Neurospora crassa OR74A: one gene and its partner. The protein of the gene in region 1 interacts with the protein of each later gene in a pairwise test. Links are inferred from orthologs where the notes say so. Each region holds a gene or a part of one and is shown on either strand. Other genes may lie near its edges. The genes, in order: NCU02391 and NCU06110.

What was found.
Region 2: the proteins of NCU02391 (region 1) and NCU06110 interact in a two-hybrid assay, tested with the Schizosaccharomyces pombe proteins (2 studies listed by BioGRID). The link is inferred for Neurospora crassa OR74A from reciprocal best matches to the Schizosaccharomyces pombe genes sec24 and thi2.

What each region holds. Positions count from the first base shown.
Region 1 is NC_026507.1:2,660,079-2,664,600, reverse strand, and holds the start of NCU02391 (protein transporter sec-24), read left to right. Parts: upstream 1-1,631; 5' UTR 1,632-2,043; coding exon 2,044-2,670; intron 2,671-2,729; coding exon 2,730-4,522. Other genes in the region: NCU02390 (hypothetical protein), read right to left, coding at 59-81. UniProt on the Schizosaccharomyces pombe protein: Component of the coat protein complex II (COPII) which promotes the formation of transport vesicles from the endoplasmic reticulum (ER).
Region 2 is NC_026507.1:1,764,273-1,768,512, reverse strand, and holds NCU06110 (thiazole biosynthetic enzyme), read left to right. Parts: upstream 1-1,374; 5' UTR 1,375-1,973; exon of another isoform or gene 1,974-2,055; 5' UTR 2,056-2,074; exon of another isoform or gene 2,075-2,403; 5' UTR 2,404-2,425; coding exon 2,426-3,362; intron 3,363-3,427; coding exon 3,428-3,525; 3' UTR 3,526-4,052; downstream 4,053-4,240. UniProt on the Schizosaccharomyces pombe protein: Involved in biosynthesis of the thiamine precursor thiazole. Catalyzes the conversion of NAD and glycine to adenosine diphosphate 5-(2-hydroxyethyl)-4-methylthiazole-2-carboxylic acid (ADT), an adenylated thiazole intermediate.

The DNA of each region.
Region 1 (4,522 bases):
TTGGTTTTATTGCTTGACGTTGTCTCGCGCAAACGCGAAGTGAGATATGGTGTCATACCTCCAGGCAGATGAAGGTGCCATTTTCGGACTCCTGCGATTTTCAAGGTTGCGGCGTGAGTTTTGTTTATGGCGAGTGTTGTCGAGCTCTACGAAGGCAAATAAAGGGAATATTCCGGCAAACTGGGTGCCGTTCGCTACTGTATATACTTCGCTTTTGGGTGTTTCTCGTCGAACACAGAGTAGTGGAGCACGTAGTGTGAGGTGTGTAGTTGCCAAATGGGGAAATCGTCTGACTTATCAGTGGTGGCCGGGTCCCAAGATCCTGAGGTCTCGCTCGAAGAAGGAAGGAGGGAAGATATCTCGATATGTTGATGATCCGAGTAGAGTCTTACCAAGCTGATAGTAGGTAGGCTGCGAGTAAGATGTAATGTTTTGATAGAGGCAGAGTCGAAGCAGTGGTACTCGGTGAAGAGGTATCCGTGGCACACAAGCTAGGTGGGATGAAGATGACGAAGTGGTGAGTGAGAAGCACAGAAAGGGTTCAGGTCACAAAGTACTGCGGAATCATAGATATACATAGTATCAGCCCCTGAAAAGTGCAACCACCCCCAAGTGTAAAACTCCCCCGAAGTGCAAATAATCCGTCATGGCCGCCGGAATTATCTCCGCATACAACTCCTGCCAACTGCGAAGACTACTTGGCCCCGGATTTGCACTTGCAGGGGTCAAGACTTGGTAGTAGCAAAGGACATAGCCGACTGGGCACTGGGCTTTGAAGTGAGTCATGCCGGCTTGTTATGGTAGAGTGTTCGGGCATCTCCTAGTGGCACGGTGGGAGCTTTGGAGGCAGTGCAAATGGTAAAAAGTACATCGGATGCGGAATGCAATAACCATATATATATGATCGCACGTACCCCTAAGGAAGGTACATACCTCTCCCAGATATCCACTGTGCCGATATTGCCGAGATTCACTGGATTGCGATGTTCATACCATGTATGTCCCCGTCTCGTCCGTTAGGTTCCTCCACCCCTATAGGAATGTTCGGCACGTTGCTGGGCACCCTGAGTGGGTGACCAGTGATGTTTGGGGACGTGCGACTTGGTTGAAGTCTTGGTTTCCTCAAAACGCCGTGCCCACCGTCCCGCTGAAGCTCCCTCGAGGTCCCCAGCCGTCCGTCATAAGCTCAACCTCGCGTTGGGGAAATTTGTCTGTCTCCAGCTACAGATACAGGAACAAGCAACAAATGAGGGTGTGCGAATTTGAGAACCCTCTCGGTTATTACTTGTCCAAGGGGTTAGGTGAAACACATAATGACCTCCATCGGAACTTGGGGTGTAGGGAATTGCATTGGTGTATGAAGTTAGAGGTGGTTTGATTATTGAAGTGTACTAAGTACTACGATGTACGCAGTAGAGGCCTGAGCGTCACGTGCTGCGTATATCTGGAGATGAAAGTATGTAAGTTACCAGTTTTCTGACCTTACCGTAACATTCCGTTCTATGGGGCAGTGGTGTACCTCGAGCTCTATGCGTTTAACGTGCAGCGCATTGTCCAACACCTTCGATCCCGCTGTCACTCTTCAGAGGTGCGGCAATACTGACTTGATACCTAGGTAGGTACGAACCATTACCCTGGCTGCCTAGCCCCAGCCTGTGTGGATACTCCCGTTGGTACCTACTCCGCCCAAAGCGAGGCAGCTAAGGCCAGTCTGGCTTCCCAGTACCTACCTCTAGCATAGCTCCTGTCCTCCTGATTGATAAGTCTGATAGGTGGAGAGGCAGCCCCTCGCCGCCCGGCGCCTGATGCTGTCTGTTGTCGTAAGTCGAGAGCTGTCAACTTCGACTCCCAACTAAGCGCGCCTCAAAAGCTCCCCATCACCAACTCCACCGTCCGCCGCTACGCAACACCCACGACTTGTCCCCTGACTCCTTTCGCCGTTCCTCTCGCGTGCCACAAGCGTCGTCGATATATCCATCAACAGGTCCCGGCCATTAATCTCTCCCGCCTCGTCAGAGACCCAAGCAGCGGGCGACAAACACCATGGCGGCTCCTCCTCCCAACGATGGCTACGGCCAGTATCCCCCTCAGCAGTACGGCGAGCAACCCCAATACCCTGTCGAGCCCGCCCAACAAGCATATGGTAGCCCGGCCTCTCCTCCGCCGGCGGCCGCCTCCCAGCACGGCGCCGAGCATGGCAAAAAGAAGAAGAGAGCATACGCCGCCCAGGCCTTCGAGGTTGCCACAGGAGGCAATGCCGTAGTAGGCGGACAGCCAGCAGCAACACAATACGGGATCCCTCAGCCAGCAGCACCGGGATTTGGTGGATATCCGGCGCAAGATGCCCAACAAGTGGCGTACGGCGCTCCGACAACACCGTACGGCGCGCCTCAGCCTGCCGTGCCCGGAGTCGGAGGCTATCAGGCCCCTGATCCCTACTACTCCCAAGGTGTTCCTCCGGCCGCCGTTGGCCCTGCCCCCGGGGGTGTTGCCGGTATTACCGCCGGCATCCAGTCTATGGGCTTTGGAGGACAGCCGCAGCAGCCGCAGCAACTTCCTGCCCAGACGAGGGGTCTTGTGAACCAGCTTTATCCCACCGATCTACTCAACCAGCCCTTTAATGTTGCCGAACTAGAGCTGCCGCCTCCCCCTATTATTCTTCCCCCTAATGTAAGCTCTCTGGCTTCTCGACTTGTGTTACGTGCACACTGCTTACTTTTTGCTGCTAGTCTAGCGTTACCCCTTCCCCAGATGCCAACTGCGCGCCAAAGTATGTGCGATCGACCTTAAATGCCGTACCCACCACCCACTCGCTGCTCAAGAAAAGCAAGTTGCCCTTTGCGCTCGTTATTCAGCCATATGCAGCTCTTCATGACTTGGACGATCCGGTTCCAGTTGTGCAAGACCAAGTGATCTCGCGCTGCCGAAGATGTCGATCCTACATCAACCCATTCGTGACCTTCCTTGACCACGGTCACAGATGGCGTTGCAACATGTGCAACCTAACCAACGATGTTCCCCAGGCCTTTGATTGGGATGCGGCGGCCCAGAAGAGCGTGGATAGATGGCAAAGACCTGAGCTTAACCATGCGGTGGTTGAGTTCGTTGCGCCGCAGGAGTATATGGTCAGGCCTCCCCAGCCTCTGGTCTATCTTTTCTTGTTTGATGTCAGCTACGCGGCTGTCTCCACAGGTCTCTTGGCCACCAGTGCAAGGACAATTCTGGATAGCCTCGACAGGATACCGAATGCCGATCGCCGCACCCGTCTTGGATTCATCGCCGTGGACTCAAGCCTGCATTATTTCTCAGTCCCGAGAGATACGGAGGAAAATGGCGAGACGAGCATGCTTGTGGTCAGCGATCTGGATGAGCCATTCCTCCCGGTTCCGGGCGAGTTGCTGGTCCCCCTCACCGAGTGCCGCCAAAACATCGAAAGCTTCCTCAACAAGCTGCCCGAGATGTTTGCGAACAACCAGAGCAATGGAAATTGCATGGGGTCAGCTCTCAGGGCAGGTCATAAGCTTATCGCCCCTCTCGGCGGCAAGATCGTGGTGCTGAGCTCATCTCTGCCCAACGTGGGTTACGGAAAGCTCGAGATGAGGGAAGACAAGAAACTTCTCGGCACGTCCAAGGAAAGCGGGTTGCTGCAAACCGCCAATTCGTTTTACAAGAGCTTTGCCGTGGAATGCTCCAAGAACCAAGTGTCTATCGACATGTTCCTCTTCTCTTCCCAGTATCAGGATGTGGCCTCCCTGAGCAACCTCCCGCGGTACACTGGTGGTCAAACATGGTTCTACCCGGGATGGAACGCCGCTAGGGCCGAAGACGCCGTCAAGTTTGCGTCCGAATTCAGTGACTACCTGTCGTCTGAAATTGGCCTCGAGGCCGTCCTCCGTGTTCGCGCTACTACTGGACTGCGGATGAGCACATTCTACGGCAACTTCTTTAACAGAAGTTCCGACTTGTGCGCTTTCCCGGCTTTCCCCCGTGATCAGTGCTATGTCGTCGAGGTTGCTATTGATGAGAACCTTACCAAGAATTTCGTTTGCTTGCAGACAGCGGTACTACATACAACCTGCAATGGTGAGCGTCGCATTCGCGTCATGACTCTGGCTTTGCCGACTACCACCAATCTTGCCGATGTGTACGCCTCGGCCGATCAATGCGCTATCGCTACCTACTTCAGCCATAAGGCGGTTGAAAAGGCCCTTGGAAACTCCCTGGATGCGGCAAGGGATCTCCCTCAGCAGAAGCTCACCGAACTTCTGCAGACCTTCAGGAAGGAGCTGGGCGGAGGCAGTATGGGTGGCGGCCTTCAGTTCCCGTCCAACCTCCGTGGCCTCCCTGCCCTCTGCCTGGGCTTGACCAAGCATGTTGGTTTGAGGAAGTCGGCCCTCATTCCTTCGGATATTCGCTCTGCTGCCCTCTGCCAGCTCTCTACCCTTCCTTTGCCACTACTTATGCAGTACATCTATCCCAGGCTATACTCACTGCACGACATGCCTGACAATGCCGGTATTCC
Region 2 (4,240 bases), about 900 kb from region 1:
ATTATTTTACCGAATATAGTATAACCCGTAGCTATTAAGTATTAATAACCTCTTCTTTGCCTTTTAGCGCTTTCTTGAATGTTCATCCTAATACTTTAACTATTCAAAAAACAGCTAGTCATTTAAATACCTAGTAGATACAGTAGCAATCTGTATTCGTAGGTCCAATTCTTTAACCCGATACTAATTGGCTATATGAAGTTGACCGGTAAGGATAATAAAGCCCAGGCAGTACTCTCTATTAGCAGCAATAGCTTCAATACACATTACTAATTTACAATTCTCGGGGATAGCAAAGTAGTAGGTTCGCTTCCGCTTTATAATAACAAGCTAGTCTTTACCTATACCAATACAGAAACTAGTCTTATTTATATTCTATATATCCGACGGTATAAAGCCTTCTAATAAAATAATTTAATAGAGCTTCTCGAAGTATACTATTACTTATTATACTATTTATTAATCGTTACCTATATAAATAATATTAATATAACGGACTTACCTTATTTATATCCTTATTATCTTTCTGGGTACTATCTATTTTCTTTTGCCTAACTTTAGAATATTCGTAGCGCTTAATAAACCGTATTGCCCAATTAATACTAATGCGGGGTATTTCTTCGTTGTTAGAGTCGGCCGATTTAGGAGCCTTACTTCGAAGTAGTAGATCTGCAATATCCTTAATATACAACGGTCGTACAGCGAGGTTAATTCTATCGAAACGGTCGATATAGTTATATAGAACCTTCTTATTAACTAGAGTAAGCTTTTACTTGTATAGTACGGGCGTACCCTTCTTAGTTGGGATCCCTTTAATGTAATTGTAGAGTTGCTTGCGGGGGACTTCAAATGTCTTGCACAAATGGGTGACGGGGACGTCGGGATTATCGTAATAAAAAGCGACCGCTCGTTGCAAACGTGCCTCCATATTGACAGCGATTATCCCTAATGCGATACGACGTTGTGGTAGTATAAAGAGAGAGGATTATAGGAAACTCAAAATCGTTATAATATATTGAGGTTCAAGATGTACGTGGCCGTTTTACTGGTGTGGCCGTATTACCCGTGAGCACCCACTTTAGGGGGTGCGAGTTCTACGAGGTCCAAAAAAGTGGGGGCGTAGTACGGGTAGTAGCCAAGAAGGGGAAGGGAACGTTCGGGCCGTTAATGTTCTCGGCGTCGGCAAGGTGTCGGACTTTGTCCCGCGTTAACGGTGCTACCACCCATCCAACGCTATCATTAGCGAGCTGCAGCTCTTGCTTGAAATTGCGACCTCAATTGCTGTTGTACCGTAGCTGAGCGTAGTTAGCCGGTTCATTCATTTTTGCTTTCCTCATGTTCACGCCATCAGCGAGTCCATCCGACACCGAAGAGTGGGGTGTTCGGCCCACGCATTGATGTCTGTAAGCCGCGCACTGTCGAGGATCGAGATAACAAGCGAACCTCTAATGTTGGACACGGACAAGATGAAGAGGGGTAACTATATTGATAGCTTCGACAACTGAAAACGATTTGATAGTCTCGGGCTGACATTGGGTCATGATCGGAGGATCGCCGATGCCGTGAAACTTGGGCAAAGGAGGGGAACAGGAAGGCGAAATAACCATTCGTGGTGAGGATGCATGGGATGATGGAAGGTGTGGCATGTTCAGATAACCGCATACTTCCCGTCAGTGTGTACGATGCAGTGTTGGAAAAGAAAGAGGGGCAAGAGGGGCAAAAGGATGCAAGCGAGGGGGAGAGGGGACGGGATGCAGCTCGAACTGAACCGGGAGTAGGAGGGGAGTCGCGTAGGTACATGTGCACCCACCTCGCTTACCTTACTTGCCTCAAGTAACGATAAAAAGGGCAACAGCTCCCCTACACAAAGTCTGCCTCTTCTCTTCCATTCTTTCCCATCTTCTTCCCATCGTCAGAATCAACGAACAACCTCTGTCTTCGTTCCAAGGACTACCAGCAATAAATACCAACACGCAAGTATCACCAAGCTTGTTCGGGCTTCATCTGTCTCCTCTCCCCCATGGTGTTGATATACTAACACCCTCAAGCAAGCAGACAGACTCTCAACACCAGGGTACAGACCACCCACCTCCTCCACCAAGATGGCCACAAACCATCGTTCCAGGAGGAGCTGAAGCCATGAACTCCCCATCGGCTGGTTGATTATACCATGATTCGATCACGTTCAAACATACTTTCAGAGGTAACTATCTGAATGCATGAGCCGGTGCCAACTTCTGTCCTGGGTATTAGGTCGCTTCTAGCACCTGTACCCAGGGGAGAAGTACAGGCTGAGAATATACGGCGACGAACTTGATCTGGATAATACCAGCGAAAGGATCATGCTTCAACTTTCCTCCCCCGCTCCCCCCTTCTCCCGTACAGTCATTCTAACATTCCCAGATAACTCTGATCCATCATCACCATGTCTCCCTCTGTTCTCGAGCCGCAGAGCGTCCCCACTCTTGTCAACGTCGGTCTCAAGGCCGTAGGCAGGAACGATGCTCCCGTCGAGCGTGATGCCAGGGGCTTGTCCAAGCCTCTTCTGGAGCTCATGCCCACCCTCGGCACTGACGCCTTCACCTTTTCCCCCATTCGCGAATCTACCGTTTCGCGCGCCATGACCCGCCGCTACTTCGCTGACCTGGACGCCCACGCCGAGACCGACATTGTCATTGTCGGTGCCGGCTCTTGCGGTCTCTCGGCCGCCTACGTCTTGTCCACCCTGCGGCCCGACCTGCGCATCACTATCGTCGAAGCAGGCGTCGCCCCGGGAGGTGGCGCTTGGTTGGGCGGACAGCTCTTCAGTGCCATGGTGATGCGCAAGCCTGCCGACGTCTTCCTGGACGAGGTTGGCGTGCCGTATGAAGATGAGGGTGACTACGTGGTGGTCAAGCATGCCGCTCTGTTCACTTCGACTGTGCTGAGCAAGGTCTTGCAGAGGCCCAACGTCAAGCTGTTCAATGCCACGACCGTCGAGGACTTGATCACCAGGAAGCACCACGCCGAGTCTTCGTCGTCATCGGATGATGGCGAGGCCGAGGACGAGGCCAAGGTGAGGATTGCCGGTGTGGTGACCAACTGGACCCTCGTGTCAATGCATCACGATGATCAGAGCTGCATGGACCCCAACACCATCAACGCCCCAGTTATCATCAGCACCACGGGCCACGATGGTCCTTTTGGTGCCTTCTCCGTCAAGCGTTTGGTCAGCATGAAGCAGATGGAGCGCCTGAACGGCATGCGCGGGCTCGATATGCAATCCGCCGAGGATGCTATTGTCAACAACACTCGCGAGATCGTCCCGGGTCTGATCGTTGGCGGTATGGAGTTGTCGGAGATTGACGGTGCCAACCGCATGGGTATGTTGAACTATCCCCTACTTCAGTTGATCTGAGTTGCATATGCTAACCCTGGCCAACCACAGGACCTACCTTCGGAGCCATGGCTCTCAGCGGTGTCAAGGCTGCCCACGAGGCCATTCGCGTCTTCGACCTCCGCAAGGCTCAGAACGACAAGTGCTAAGCCTGTTCAAGACGTTGGAAGTAGTAACTAAAATGGGGGAGGATTTATGCATGCAATTTGTTGAATCTTTTGAGTTTAAACTTTGTTCGTGTCCATTTGGATCCAATGAATTCTTGAACGTACAGTCCCTTCTGTTGGTCTCTTTATGCTTAAGATAGCCGTTTAAAGTCCAAAATCGTCTTGACGCACCTCTTAAGTCATCTTGTCATCTTTTATGTCCGAAAATCCCGTGAAGCAGGAACAAATAAACCTTTGCTTTTGCAAGTCGCGCAGAAGTGACCTCTGGGGCGGTGGAGAGGATATGGCATTGAAAATGTAACAATGTCCTGCCGGACCCCAAATCATCAACGGTCATCCTTCTGCTCAGCTTGACGGCTGCGATGTCGCGTCGTGGACAAGAGAGCTTCAACAGTGCATGACAAGGTCAAGCAACACAAGTACAGGCCTGGGAAAAGCGACAAGATATCGAGGGAATGCAAGAAGACATAACATAGTAGTAGTAAGGTTGATAAACTGGTACGTAAGTCCCATCGTTTGGTATCTCTCCCTTTTTGAGTCGCCTGCAGCGGAAAAAAGAAAGGAACAGAAAGAAGACATTGCCGACCGACCAATAAACTCCTGCTCCACGACTCCGATCCCAGTCCTCCTTTCCAGTAGTAGCAAAAAGTCCGATTCCCATGAATCAAGGCGGGTGAGCCAAGGTCCAGCCCCAAGG